Linked DNA regions of Stegostoma tigrinum. The protein of the gene in region 1 interacts with the protein of each later gene in a biochemical or structural test. Links are inferred from orthologs where the notes say so. Each region holds a gene or a part of one and is shown on either strand. Other genes may lie near its edges.

Region 1 (7,676 bases):
CCAAAACTAGTCCCACCTGCCTGTGCTTAGCCCAAACATTTCTTATTCATGTCCTTAACCACTCATCTTTTATACATTGTAACTTTACCCCATCCACTGCATCCTCTGGAAGGTCATTCCACACACAAACCATTCTCTCTGTAAAACCAAATTGCCCCTTGTCTCTTAAAATCCCTGGCCCTAGGGAAAAGACACTTGTCATTCACCTTATCCACATCCCTCATGATTTTATAAACTTCTAATTAAAAGGTTACCCCTCAACCGCTTACACTTCAGTGAAAAAAATCCCAGCATATCCAGCCTGTCTCCATAACTCAAACCCTCCCTCCCCAGCAACATCCGGGTAAATCTCTTCTGAACTCTCTCCAGCTTAACAATATCCTTCCTATAACAGGGCAACTGGAACTGGTCACAGTATTCCAGAAGAGGTCTCAACAATGTCCTGTACAACCTCAACATAATGTGCCAACTCCTACTCTCAAAGGTCTAAGCAATGAAGACAAGTGTGCCAAACTCCTTCTTAACAACGCTGTCTATATGGGATGCAAACTTCAAAGAACCCTGAGGTCTCTCTGTTCTACAACGCTACCCAAGGTCCCACTTTTAATTGTATAATTTTTGCTTTTGTTTTATTTACCAAAATGCAATACCTCACATTTAACCAAATTAAACTCCATCTGCCACTCTTCAGCCCATTGGCTAATTGATCATGGCTTCTTTGTTATCTTCCATAATCTTCTTCACTGTTCTGCTGCACCATCAATCTTGGTGCCATCTATGTATAGGGATATCGGGATATTAACCCTTGAGCGGAGCTGCTGTTGTGGGAAGGGAGTCATTGAGAGAAGACACCGAGTCATCGACAGGGAGAGAGAGAGAGATCAGTGGCAGTCAATCTGCACATCTCTGCTGTGTGGACATTGGCAGGGCGCACGCGGCAGAAAGTTGAGTGTGAAATGTCAGGAAACTGCATTTCAAGGATAATAGCAGCTGGGCTCGACTTTTTTCTATCAGTTATTTTAAAATAAACACAGGGTGAAAGCATTCCCGTTTGACCCAAACCCTCTGCTATATGCTTCAAATAAGCTTTCCACACCAGCAAATGTGAATTCATTCGGAGTCTAAAATTTCAATTTCACTTTGTGCTCCTGAGATGCTGCTTGGCCTGCTGTGTTCATCCAGCCTCACATTTTATTATCTTGGAATCTCCAGCATCTGCAGTTCCCATTATCTCTTCACTTTCACTTTCTGTTTCCTCTCAGTCTGGGAGTTTTCAAATAAATTTGGACCTTAGTCTCTGACAATAAGCTCCGCCCCTTAAAGTGGCAATGACAACAACACTAACGAGAAAGGCAGATTCTGGAAGTCTGAAGCAAAAGACAGAAATTGCTGGAGAAACTCAGCAGGTCGGGCATTCTGAGATAACAAAGTGTAGAGCTGGATGAACACAGCAGGCCAAGCAGCATGAGAGGAGCAGGAAGGCTGACGTTTCTGGCGTAGACCCTTCATCAGATATGGGGGAGGGGAAGGGGATTCTGAAGTAAGTAGGGAGAGAGGGGGAGGCGGATAGAAAATGGATAAAGGAGAAGATAGGTGGAGAGGAGACAGACAGGTCAAAGAGGCAGTGATGGAGCCAGTAAAGGTGAGTGTAGGTGGGGAGGTAGGGAGGAGATAGGTCAGTCCAGGGAGGACAGACAGGTCAAGGGGGCGGGATGAGGTTAGTAGGTAGAAAATGGGGGTGGGGCTTGAGGTGGGAGGAGGGGATAGGTGAGAGGAAGGACAAGTTAGGGAGGCGGGGATGAGTTGGGCTGGTTTTGGGATGCGGTGGGGGGAGGGGGGATTTTGAAGCTTGTGAAGTCCACATTGATACCATTGGGCTGCAGGGTTCCCAGTGGGATATGAGTTGCCGTTCCTGCAACCTTCGAGTAGCAACGTTGTGGCACTGCAGGAGGCCCATGATGGACATGTCATCTGCGGAATGGGAGGGGGAGTTGAAATGGTTCGCAACTGGGAGGTGCAGTTATTTAGTGTGAACCGAGTGGAGGTGTTCTGCATAGCCTCTGTGCAGAGAAAGCAGAGTTAACATTCGGAATCCAGTGTCACTTCTTCAGAAAACAACTTGTGTTGCAAATCATTGAATGCCCTGTCTCTTTTATGTACAGTGCCATGATGTGGAGGTGCCGGTGATGGACTGGGGTGGACAAGGTCAGAAATAACACGCCAAGTTGGATTATAACCTGATATCGTGTTTCTTACACTGATCTAGAACATGAATAAAACTGCAATAGCTGTTACTATGTAAACAGCGGCAGCTCAACATGCTGCACAGTTCAAAAATACTAGTTAAAATGTCTGTGCTGCAAACAGGCCAGCATTTTTAATTGTTCAGATGCATTAATATACACTTCCAGAGCAGGGGCGACTCAAGCCCAGGCCTTTTGGCTCAGAGGTAGAGACACTACCACGGCACAACAAGAAGATCTTGTGGACATAAGAGAAAGAAGTGAATTTAATATAAAATATCAACTCAGCTCATTGAATGGTTGGGGCCGTTGAAAGGACTATGTAGCCCATTCCTGCTGTAATTTCTTACATTCTTAACCTCATAAGTCAGAGTTTCTTTCAAATCTCTAGCTTACTGGTTATTAAAGTGAATTTTATTTTTCATTCTTAGTCTGGGTATACTGCTGGCTAAAACAGCATTTATTGGTTGTCCCTAATTATCCAGAGGGCAGTTAAGAGTCAACCACATCGCTGTGGGTTTGGAGTCACATGTGGGCCAGACCAGGTGAGGATGGCTGTTTCCAACCCTAAAGGACATTCGTGAACCAGAAGGTGGGGTTTTCCAACAATCAATAATGGTCATCATTAGACTTCAGCTTCGCAAGCTTTATTGCTTTCAAATGCCCCCATCTGCTATGGTTGGATTTGAACACAGTAGTTTCTCACATTTCACAAACATTCTTACATATGTTATTGCCATGTCTGGCAAATGTGAAAGCCATTTTCCACCTTCCAAGGCTGACAAGTGGAAATGATATAAACAAGCAGGTACCTGGATGATGTTACTTGAACACAGGATAATTGTCAGATCACGATGAGGACTCCTCGATTTCATGAACCATGATTTATAGACATGGCCTCAGTTTAAGTGTGTCACCTCAAGGACAATAATGCAACAATTCATGAATTGGAATATGAGCCTAGCTTGTTCCCTTCAGTGGATTTTGGTTACCCCTCCTCTTCTAAATCATGACATCTTCCAATCTCAGGGAAATAAGAACATGGGGACAGGCCATTCAGTTTTGTCAGTCTGCATCCATATTTATCCCCAGAAAGTTGCACGGTGGCTCAGTGGTTAGCACTGCTCCCTCACAGTGCCAGGGACCTGGGTTTGATTCCACCCTCAGGTGACTGTCTGTGTGGAGTTTTACATGTTCTCCCCGTGTCTGTGTGGGTTTCCTCTGGGTGCTCCTGTTTCCTCCCACAGTCCAAGGATGTGCAGGCTAGGTGGATTGGCCAGGCTAAATTGCCCGTAATGTTCAGGGATGTGTAGGTTAAGTGGATTATAGGGGGATAGGTCTGGGTGGGATTCTCTGAAGGTCAGTGTAGGCTTGTTGGGCTGAAGGGCTTACTTCCACACTGTAGGGATTCTATGATTCAAAATTGTCTCTTATTTATTTTGTAGTCTGGACCTCAGCCACCTTGTTCCTCACCCTTCATTCACCTATTCAATGTCACCTGGAATTTTAGCATGTGGCCTGATTTTAACCTGACTGCTAACCAGCCATACTGAATTGAATACAACACCACCCCCAAAAAAACTCACATTATGTCCCATTGCCTCCGATTCAAACAGATGAAAGCTCAGGCTTTCATTTCTACCTGAATCACTGTCCCTGAAGTAAAATCTACAATTTCCCAATAACGTGTGTAAAGAAGTCTCACCTGCCGATTGTTTTACAGAGGGCTTTTCATTTTGTATATAAAGGCATAGAGATGTACCGCACAGAAACAGGCCTTTTGGTCCAACTCAACCATGCTGACCAGTTAACATAAATTAACCTAGTCCCATTTGCCAGCAAATGGCCCATGTCCTTTTAAACCTTTTGTGATGAAGGGTCTAGGCCCAAAACATCAGCCTTCCTGCTCCTAAGATACTGCTTGACCTGCTGTGTTCATCCAGCTCTACACCTTGCTATCTCCGATTCTCCAGCATCTGCAGTTCCTACTATCGTTCCCCTTTTAAAACTTTCCAAAAGCCTTTTAAATGCTGTAACTGTACTAGCCTCCATCACTTCCTCTGGCAGCTCATTTCATACATGGACCACTCTCTGCTTGGAAAAGTTAGCCCTTCGGTCCCTTTTAAACCGTTCCCCTCTCACCTTAAACCTATGTCCTCAGGTTTTGGACTGCCCTGCCCTGTGAAAAAGACCTTGGCTTTTCGCCCCATCCATGCCCCTCATGACTTTATAAGCCTCTAATGCATGGACCCCTTCAGTCTAGACCCCTCATCAATTGTTGGGAACAGTCTGTTTCTAACCGGTCGGTTCCGGGTCCTGCCGTTATACGCCCCAGCCTCGTCCGGTCTGAACGAGGACGCTGTCAGGAGTTGAAATGTGTTGCCCTTTTAAAGAGATCAGAATTTGGCAGGAAGCTTTTTGTTTCCTTTCTGTTGCTCGCTCTCCCAGATCAAGCGCAGGCAGTGTCATTCAGTTGATCGGAGCAATTTGTATCGCTGCCGGACAGAAGCACCTTCCTCAGGGACAAGAGAGTAAACTAAGGTGCGTTAGCGTTCGCGATATGTTGGTATAGCCATCAAAATCCGTGTTATAGTAAAATGCTGTAGAACAGTGCCCCAGGCAATTACTGAGGATGGTAAGCTCAGGTTATCATTGCTCCACTGAAACTGACTTTACAATCTACCAGCTGACCAAAGATATATTTTTGAGTTTTCAAATTTGGAACCAGAATTTTGCCTTTACGAATGAAAGCTTCTTCCTATTGCACTGAGGCGAAAGGCAATCTGTTGTTGTAGGAGTGAGTGACTTTATTTTACAAAGAGAAACTGCCTGTTGAAATTTGGTTGTTGAGCTTCCGTGGATTTATTGGAAATGAGATAACTGGACCGTCTGCAAATTTCTTCAGTTTAACAAATGAATGAAATTGACAAATTGTTTTGCTTCCCCCCACTCCCTTTTCCCATTTTGATTGATCATTCTGACAACGTGGACGGGAAGTTACACTTGAATTTGTTGACTTTGTGATGTATGCCCGCAGAATTGTTGCAATACCGAAAGAGACCATTCGACCCATCGTGTCAAAGAAGGAAAGCGAAATAAAGTGTAAAGGGGATTTTTTTTGTTAATTCCCCGTGAGTTTTAATGAAGTTGCTGCCAACTCGCATCTGAACCCTGTATGTTCCTCTGTTAGACCTTCAAATATTAATTGTGTTGAGGTGTTGTATGTAGTGCCAGAAATACAGATTTGCTATCCGACCGCCACCAATGCTCTTCACAATATGATTGTCAACTCTGATTGGATGCATTTGAGTCGAAGATTGATTGCTGATCAAAGCAAGGCCATTCAGCCCCTAGCATCCCTGATAGCTGTCTGTCGAAGCTACGCAGGGGGTCGCTTTCCTTATTGCGCTGAAAATACCTTCTCAGCATTATTATTCAATTCCCTCTTGAAAACTATGGTCGAATTCTCCTTTATACCCTCATACAGTATGTTCCTGATCCTTGCAACATTTTAAAAATTTTAAATTTCCCTTATTTCGGCAAAGCAGCTGGCTGGGACACCTTAGAAGATTTCCATTCATCTAGCACTCTCCCCCATCTCAGGACACCCAAAAGCTCATGTTACCTTTTATGATGCCAGACCACACCACCAAATTTATATTATGATCTGTGAGGGACTAGTGACTTTTTTAAAGTTGACATAGTTTCACATCCCAGGTATTTCCCAGAGAATAATGTCATAAGATTCCATGGTTTTAAACAGATAATGATAATCTTTACTATACAATGCAATGTACATATACGCACATATAAATTATATTCTAACATCCAGAATTAACGGGAGCCAAATGTGGGTAACAAATTGTGATTGATTGCCCTACAGAGCATGTCAAATTTCAGAAGCAATAAAGACATATCCCATGGATTTCTCAGCTATCCCTCCCTCCAAAAGCTTAATGACACAATGGATCATCAAATTTAATTTTAAAAATATCACAAGTGATTTCAATTCTTCACTTTTCACAATCTGGTCTGGAAAGTCCCTTAAGACCCGTTATGTCACAGACACTTCTGTTGACTGCTATGTTTTTATATTCACCTTCCTTTGAAGGGTCTGTGCTTCTCTAGATTGTGCAAACTGCACTCCGGCACAGCATTTACTTGCAGGCATAGATCCAGCTTTTCACCACCAACTGACTTTATCAAGCTAGTACTACACTTGTGTATTATCATGAGCTCTAGTCTTGTTTGATTGCGTCATGCTAATGCTGCTTTCAGGTTTTCCAATACCAACTCTCAATGGAACTTAATCATTAATATCTTGCAGACTTCTCTAAAACCCCACATTCTCTAAGCCTTCCTTAAGTCCCAACTCAACAGATCTATCCAATGCTCTTAAAACTTCTCATTGATCGTCCTACACAGAACCAGTATAGTTCAGTTGCCTTCCAGCATTTGACTGGGGTGCTGATGGGAGGATAGAATGCACAAATCACCAGAGCCAGAATTAGAGTATGATGCATTTGCTAATCCTCATGCACTTTTCTCTTTATACAACAACTGAACATGGACTGGAGGGTTGCCATCCTAAACACCTCCATTCAGTCTGAAAGCATGACCCTCGCTTCCAATACCCTGTCATTTTAGTTCTCAGCTCTCCCTCCAACTTTGGCCACTCTTTCCCTGGCCTCCTGAACTGTTCCAATGAAGCTCAACAGAAGCTCCAGAGGCCTCATATTCTAGCTTGGGTGTTTTACAGCCTTATGAACAGGGGGTGGAGTAAAATAATGTCCGATCACGATCACTGTCCCCATTGCTTTGGACAGCAAGGTCGTAGCTCTGATTCTGATTTAACTTCCTCATATTCCTTCTGGCTTGAGTGTCACCATCTTATTTTGCCTCATACCTTTATCCCTTTTGTTACATCCTTCTAGCATCCCATCACACCCCTTTCCTCTTGTGCTTTCCTCACTACCATCTTCCACAGTTTCTGTACTTACTTAAAACCTGTTATTTCTCAAAACTTCCCAGGTCTGATTTAAAAAGTCATGGCCTGAAACATTAGCTGTGTTTCTCTCTGTACAAAACCTCGAGGGGACTTGCTGTGTACTTTCACTTTTAATTGTAGATTTTAAGCATTTGCAAGATTTTGCTTTCAGTTTAAAGGTAAGGTAACCTGGGATATGTAAAACTTATATTATTCATTCACAGGATGAGGGCATCGCTGGCTAGGCAGCATTTATTGCCCATCCCTAATAGCCCAGAGGGCAGTTATGAGTCAACCACATTGCTGTGGGTCTGGAGTCACATGTACGCCAGACTAGGTAAAGATGGAAGTTTCCTTCCCTGAAGGAGATTAGTGAGCTAGATGGGATTTTCTCCAACCATTAGCAATGGATTTAAGGTCATCATTAGACCTTTAATTCCAGATAT
Region 2 (7,725 bases), on another chromosome or scaffold:
TCTATACTAGTTATTTCTTGCCTTTCACTAGTTTAATTTCCTCTGCCAGTTAAAGAAAACTGAGTATAATCATTCATTCATATTTAAGAATGAGAATTCTAGATTTTGAAGTATGTGTACGTTTTCTCCTATTTTAGAATCATAGAATCCCTACAGTGTAGAAACAGGCTATTCGGCCCACTGAGTCTGCACCGATCATCTGAACAGCATCTTGCACAGGCCAAGCACCCTACCTTATTCCTGTAAGTCCATATCTACCATGGCTACTCCACTTAACCTGCACATCCCTGGACACTACGGACAATCTATTATGGCCAATCCACCTACACTGCACATCTTTGGACTGTGGGAGGAAACGAGAGCACCAAGTGGATACAGGCCGAACTCCACACAGAGAGTCACCCGAGTCTGGAATCAAACCTGGGTCCCCAGTGCTGTGAGTCAGCTGTACTAACTGTTGAGCCATGATGCGTTCCACATTATAGAACATAGAACATAGAACAGTACAGCACAGAACAGGCCCTTCAGCCCACAATGTTGTGCCGACCATTGATCCTCATGTATGCACCCTCAAATTTCTGTGACCATATACATGTCCAGCAGTCTCTTAAATGACCCCAATGACCTTGCTTCCACAACTGCTGCTGGCAACGCATTCCATGCTCTCACAACTCTCTGCGTAAAGAACCTGCCTCTGACATCCCCTCTATACTTTCCACCAACCAGCTTAAAACTATGACCCCTCGTGCTAGCCATTTCTGCCCTGGGAAATAGTCTCTGGCTATCAACTCTATCTATGCCTCTCATTATCTTGTATACCCCAATTAGGTCCCCTCTCCTCCTCCTTTTCTCCAATGAAAAGAGACCAAGCTCAGTCAACCTCTCTTCATAAGATAAGCCCTCCAGTCCAGGCAGCATCCTGGTAAACCTCCTCTGAACCCTCTCCAAAGCATCCACATCTTTCCTATAATAGGGCGCCCAGAACTGGACGCAGTATTCCAAGTAATTATGTATCCCTTATGTTAGACAGTTGCTAATTGTAAACTGATCATTTTAGATGCTGTATCTCCAGACCATATCCTGGACTTTTGTCAGTTATTGATATTGTTGTTCAATCATGGTTCACTATCTGATAATATAGTGGCATTTTCCCCAACGTCTGCCTTGAAATTAATGAGATGACTATTTACATAAACATTTTCTTGCTGTAAAGCTAGGTCTGGATTACTTATTCCCATAGTATTTCCCTACTATTACCTATAGCAGATGAATGTGTGACTGGAGACTTGGTGCAGGAAAGAGGGTTTTAGAATAGTTAGGCATTGGGATCATTTCTGGGGAGGTGTTGCCTGTATAAGTTGAACAGGTTACATCTGAATGAGAATGGGAATGGGACCAAAGCATTCTGTAGTCTTTATTTGTTGAAATAATCTGTTTCTATTGTTCCTGCCAAAGTTGACAGCTTAACATTGCACTCTTCTGATATTTGTCAGTTGCAGAATTTCCAGTTTGCAGGCACCAGCCATCTCCCCCATACCAAGGATGCACAATCTCTTTACACATCCATCCCCATCAGGATGGTCTTAGGGCTTTCTTACTTTTACCTGGAAAGAAGGCCTGGTCTGTCCCCATCTACCACCACCCTCCACTGCCTGGCTTACTTTGAACAACTTCTCCTTTAACTCCTCTCGCTTACTTAAGCTCAAAGGAATGGTCATGGATACCTGCTTGGTCTTCTGTTATGCCTGTCTCTTTGTGTGGTATGTGGAACATTCCTTGCTCCAGTCCTACCCCTTAACTCTTTCTCCATACTTCAATGATGTTATCAGAACTTCTTTCCTCTCTCAATTGGAATTGGAAAGGTTTACCTATTTCACTTTAACTTTTCACCCTGCTCTCACCTTCACCGACTCCCATAATTAACTGGACTATATATCCTCTCAGAGATAATAGGAACTGCAATGCTGGAGATCCCGAGATAACAAGGTGTAGAGCCGGATGAACACAGCAGGCCAAGCAGCATCTTAGGAGCAGGAAAGCTGACTTTTCGGGCCTAGTGAAGGGTCCTTCACTAGGCCCGAAACGACAGCTTTCCTGCTCCTAAGATGCTCCTTGGCCTGCTGTATTCATCCACCTCTATATATCCCCTCACCCTGCTTCCTGTAAGGACACTGTTCCTTTTTCCCAGTTTCTCCATCTCTGTCACATCTGTTCCGATGATGCCAGCTTCCATCAGGGAGAAACATGTCCACCTTTTTCCTCTACCACTATCTTAGTTGACACGGCCCTACCAACGGGATGCCACCACCAGACACATATTCCCCTCCCCTACCTTGTCAACATTTGGCAGGGACCATTCTCCCAGGACACCTTAATCCACTAATTCTCCATTCCTGACACCTTCCTACATCCTCATGGCACTGTCCCATGCAACTGCAACAGGTGCAATGCTTTCCTGCTTACTTCCTCCCTTCTCACTAACCAACTCTCCAGAGATACCTTCTAGATGAGACAGTGATTCATCAGCTATTCACTCAAACTAGTCCACTGTATTTGCTGCTCACAATGTTGTTTCCACTACACTGGGGAGGCGAAATGTATACTGGGTGATGGCTTTGTGGAACGTCTATAAAAATGACTTCAAGCTTCCTGTCACCTGCCATTTCAACGCATGACTATGTTCCTTGGCTGACATTTCTGTCTAGAGCTAGCTGCACTGCTTCAGCGAGACTCAGCACAAGCTGGAAAAACAACTTTTCATCTTCTGCTTGGGATCCCTGCAGCCTTCAGGACTCAATTTTGAGTTCAACAATTCTAGAGCCTGAACGCCCTCTCCTATGTCCTTACCCACCTTTGTGTACTAAGCCCTGTCATGACAGGGGCTGGTTTCAGCACAGACAGCCTATTTTCAACTATGCATTGCCTCCATTATCAGCTTTTCTTCTTCCCTGGCTTACTACCTACGATCCCTTTGTCCATCCAATTTTTTTTCTCTTTCTCTGTTGGATCCATCTCTACTTATCTGCTCACTTTTTCCAACGCCCATGCCCTGTAATTAGCAGAAAAATCACCTTTCCCTAACAACTTTCAGTTCTGATTAAGGGTCACCAAATGTCAACCCTGTTTTCTCTCCAGAGATGCTGCTGGCATGCTGAGTTTCCCCACATTTTTGCCTCACATTTACTGCATTATACCTACCATCATTTGTCCACTTAGACATTATCCTAGTCTCCTGTCTAATAATACGTAATTTAATCAAGCATCATGAAAACAGATTACTACAGCAAAATCATGCAGCTACTGAAAATCCGAAACAAGTACTGAAAAGCTGTTAAAAACTCAAGTTACGTCTTTTGAGAGAGACTGAGTTAACTTTTCAGAGTTAAAACTGAGTTAGCCTTTCATCACGGGGGCCATTGATGTCTCAGACATTGTTAGGTGCAAACTGGCTTCTATGGTCCCACATTATAGCAGTTACTGCACTTCATTGGTTGTAAAGCACTTTGATATGTGCTGAAAAAGCCTGTGTATAAACATGATAACAAGGTGTAGAGCAGGAAAGCTGACGTTTCGGGCCTGGACCCTTCTTTCAGAATTTAAGAAGGGTCCAGGCCCGAAACGTCAGCTTTCCTGCTCCTCTGATGCTGCTTGGCCTGCTGTGTTCATCCAGCTCTGCACTTTGTTATCTCAGATTCTCCAGCATCAACAGTTCCTACTACCCTCCATGTATAAGCAGATGTTTTGTTTTCCTTCAACATTTTCATTGTTAAATGTTTTCGAGGATTTAATAAAAACAATGCTCCGTTAACTGAGAATACCCTGGTTCTAAGTTACATTTTATCAACACGTCCTTTAATGACTCTGAGCCCTACGTTGCTTCGGAAGTATTTCTTGCTGCTTCAGGAGAACTACAGCTCCCGTCATGCCGGACGGCGCAAACGCATGCGCACTATCCTCAAATTTCCATTATGACCGGATTTTTTGTCGGTTTTTCATAAAGTTCGTTAAATTTCATCACGCACAATGGCAAGACAATTAAATGATGAACTAACCCAGGTATATATCAAAAAAAGCTTCGAGGAAGGTTGTCACTGAAATGTTTAACTTCCAACTGTCGCGGGTAAAGACTACAATTCCCAGAAGGCCGCGGAGTATCGCGGGGGGTGGGGGGCGCGTCTGGCGTCGGCGACAAACAACAACGTCAACGTCACGGACGAGGGTTGAAGAGAAGGTTCAGGAGCAGAGAGAGAGAGAGAAGGTAGAAAGGAGAGGCGGAGGAACGAGAAGGAGGAGGTCGAGGGAGAGGGAAAACTGCGAGGCAAGGGGGGTGGGAAAAAGAACTGGCTGAATTAAACAAGCGATCATTAAAGTGAGCCCCAGGGACCGGCGGAGACTCACCTCAGAGCCTGAAGAGGACAAAGTGGCGTCACCCGAGTGAAGAGAGGGGGGGAACGAATCTCCTCAGACCCACAAACACACGCACAGTTTGTCCCCCCCTTCCCTCGTCTTGTTTTCGTTGCCGTCCGAGTATACACCTCGATATCTATCATTCTTTTTGTGTGCTACCCCCTTTTTTCTCCCCCCCCATACCCCCCCCGGGCCGGGGGTTCCGTCTGTCCGTTTGCACCTGAAAAGAATTTTGTTATTTTTCTGTGTGTACGCGGCGGAGGGGTTTGGGGGGGGGGGAGCAGGGGGAAGAGTGGGGTGGAGGAGGAGGAGGTGGTGGTGGTGGTGGTTCGGAGGAAGACAGGCCCGAGAAGAGGAATTAAAGCCGCCACCTCCTCAGCAGCACCAACATGTCCTCCCCGAGTCCTGGGAAGAGGCGAATGGACACCGATGTGGTCAAACTGTATCCTTCAGAGCAGCGAGTCTCCCAGTCGGAGGGGCTTCAGCAGTTAACGCTTTTTCCTCCCTATGTTCCACATCTTCCCCCCCCCCACTCTTTGTCTCGCCTGTTATTTGTATCAAGTACGCCGTTTGTTTGCGTTGAAGGATGATATTTTTAAAAAAGTACACATTTTATATAATGTCACAAGCTTAGCCCATTAGTCGGTATTTTTTTATCCGTAAAGCATGCCCCTAAGTGTGTACACGGGCGATGGTTATGATTGGGGTTTTTTTAGGGGTTGTTAGGTCTTTGAGATATACAGTGGTTTCCATCAAAGAAAAATGACAACATTCACATGGTGACGGATGTCAAAGCTTCCTTTTTTTGGTTGAAGTTTTGTTCCTCTATCTGTTGAATATATTTTCAGGGAAAACGTTATGTTGGTTTTTTTGTATGTTACGAAATTTTGAATTTGTAGTGCTTTTATTCTAAATTTATGGCGAGTTTATAGTTCTTTACTTGATACTTATGAGGCCTTGTCTTTGTGAAAAAAACAAGCTAGCCTTTTTTTTGTGCCGTATGTCCTACGTTTGAAAGCCAGATTTCACGTTTCAGCAGATGATTTATGATTAATAGGCAGCGTCACATCGCATCAAACCTTGTTTCTGTGTTTTCAACTACAAAGGAGGTTGCGATTTGTCTGACGTGTATTTCCAGGGTACTTTTGGGCCTGTTGATCTGTCTAGGTTTATGGCGGTGGTGGGGAAGAGAAAGGAAGGAGAGATAGACGGGAGGGAATGGTGGTTGCGAAGAGGAAAAATAACTGAAGGAATTTGAATGCGGATGTTGACTGTCTTGTAAATTGAGTGACGTTTTTAATGCATCCTTACAGTTTTTGCCATATTAGCTGATAGAAGTATTACTTTTGTCTTGAATTTTTACGGTGTTGTTGAGAGGTCTTGTTTTTATTTTTGGACTGGTGAATATTTTGCTTTTTTTAAGGTTTCCTCGGGCTCGTAAAGGCATTTTTTGGTTGCTTAAAATTTATTATGGTGGAATTGAAATTTTTATATAAATGGCTGTGTCACATACGTTAATATTTAATATCTCCCCACCCCCCCCCAACCCCATTTTGGGTTGTGTTTTTTGAAGGTGCTACCTGCTGGAACTCGTTGGACAGCAACTGTTGGTCCTAATGCTAGTTGCAAAGAGCGGATTGGCTGTACTGTTACTAGCCGGAATTGAGTTGGAGGAGGAGCTTACTTAAAACACAAACACGTTCACCAGCTGACACTACAAAAGAGAGGCTACTTAGACGTCGGCGCTTTAGTTGGGTGGGGGCAAACACAGTAAACGGCCGATTACTAATCAACAGCAGTTCAGCTTCCCGTCGCTTCTAACTGTACCAGAAATTTGTCAGAACTTTATTCAGAACAAGGGAATGATGTAATCATTTGAATTAGCTTTCTTTAAGAAAAAGTTATTGCAGACTATTTGTATTTTAGAAGGTCATTAACTGGAGATTTTGTTTATCATCTTTTACACTTTTTGAACTGTTGTGTTCCTAGTGTTCACTTTTCTGATTAAAGTATTTTCATACAAGAAAGCACAGTAATCTTGTATCCTAGTTATTTATAATTTAAGGATTAGTTGGCCCCATTTATTATGTCAGTGGAAACATTTTTCGTGTATTTTGCCATGATCCCATTATGTACATTGGTAGTTTGATTTAAGATTTTTTTGCTGTTGTAGCCCAGGTGATAGAGAATACTGGTAGATATCTGGAAATAAAATCTATCAGTAGCTGCTGGGGAGTGCTAGAGATTTTTCCCCCTTATGTTTATGTCTTAGTAGCAAAAAAGGCCTATCCTGTTACTTCAGCTTGCTTCAGAAATGGTTACAACCATGTTTATAAGGTGGCTAAGTCTGCCATTTCACTCTTTCCAGCACTGATGGCAAGTTTGGTCAGAGGTGACTGCATACCGCAGAGATTTCCATTACCTTATTTGCTAAAATCACAACTAAGGTCTTATGCCAAAATTGAGTTAAATATGTGATTCTTTCATTTATTCCTTAATGGGGCAAAGGCATCACTCGTAAGTCCAGTATTTATTGGCCATCTGTGAAATCAGTGGATTGTCAGGCATGTTAGCTGGGCGTCTGGGGTCCCGTGTATGCCACAGTGAGAGAGGATGGCAGACTTGCTTAGGTAAAGGATGTTAGTGAAGCAAATGAGTTTTTATGATAATTGATAGTTTTACGGTCGCCATTGTTAACATTAGTTCCTGACACTAGATTTTACTAATTGAAGTGTGTTAATTGAATTGCTAATGTATACTATAGGACCTGATTGCAAAAGGCTGGACATACGGGAACAATTTTCCACATGGTTGTCAATCCCGTTTTGCAGATGAACTCCAGAACTAGCTGCACCCGGTATAAGTCTGCTGTACTATAGCCAGGATGTTGTCAGGGCCCAGAGTCTTTGCTGTAATCTGTACCTTTATGCCCTTCCTTGATATTACCTTTAATGCACTAGTTCATAATTGATTTCACTATGATCATCCTTGTGCCTCAGTCATGATGTCTGATTATTGGTGTCTATACTTGTTTCCAGTCAGTGGAAGGAATCTGAATGGGATAATATTAACCTTTTTTGAAGGCACATCCATCTGATTAAAATGCTGTCAAGATATTTTTCAAGTAGGGTGCCAAGCAAGTGCTGACTGAGAAATTTGATGACTGCAAAATTATTATATGGATTATGATAGCTAGGTCTATCATCGATGGCATAAAGGGAGAACAAAAACAGGAGAAGGTATTGAATGTAGACTGGAGTTTTGTTTTCATCACTGTTTGAACATGTTATACCAATCCTCCAGGAATGTCTCAATTTG

What was found.
Region 2: of the proteins of uba1 (region 1) and ube2h, one has a biochemical effect on the other in vitro, tested with the Homo sapiens proteins (3 studies listed by BioGRID, with this or other methods). The link is inferred for Stegostoma tigrinum from reciprocal best matches to the Homo sapiens genes UBA1 and UBE2H.

Annotation. Positions count from the first base shown.
Region 1 is NC_081364.1:12,926,031-12,933,706, reverse strand, and holds the start of uba1 (ubiquitin-like modifier-activating enzyme 1), read left to right. Parts: upstream 1-4,667; 5' UTR 4,668-4,784; intron 4,785-7,676. UniProt on the Homo sapiens protein: Catalyzes the first step in ubiquitin conjugation to mark cellular proteins for degradation through the ubiquitin-proteasome system.
Region 2 is NC_081378.1:16,357,002-16,364,726, reverse strand, and holds the start of ube2h (ubiquitin-conjugating enzyme E2 H), read left to right. Parts: upstream 1-4,704; 5' UTR 4,705-4,796; coding exon 4,797-4,849; intron 4,850-7,725. UniProt on the Homo sapiens protein: Accepts ubiquitin from the E1 complex and catalyzes its covalent attachment to other proteins. E2 ubiquitin conjugating enzyme that transfers ubiquitin to MAEA, a core component of the CTLH E3 ubiquitin-protein ligase complex.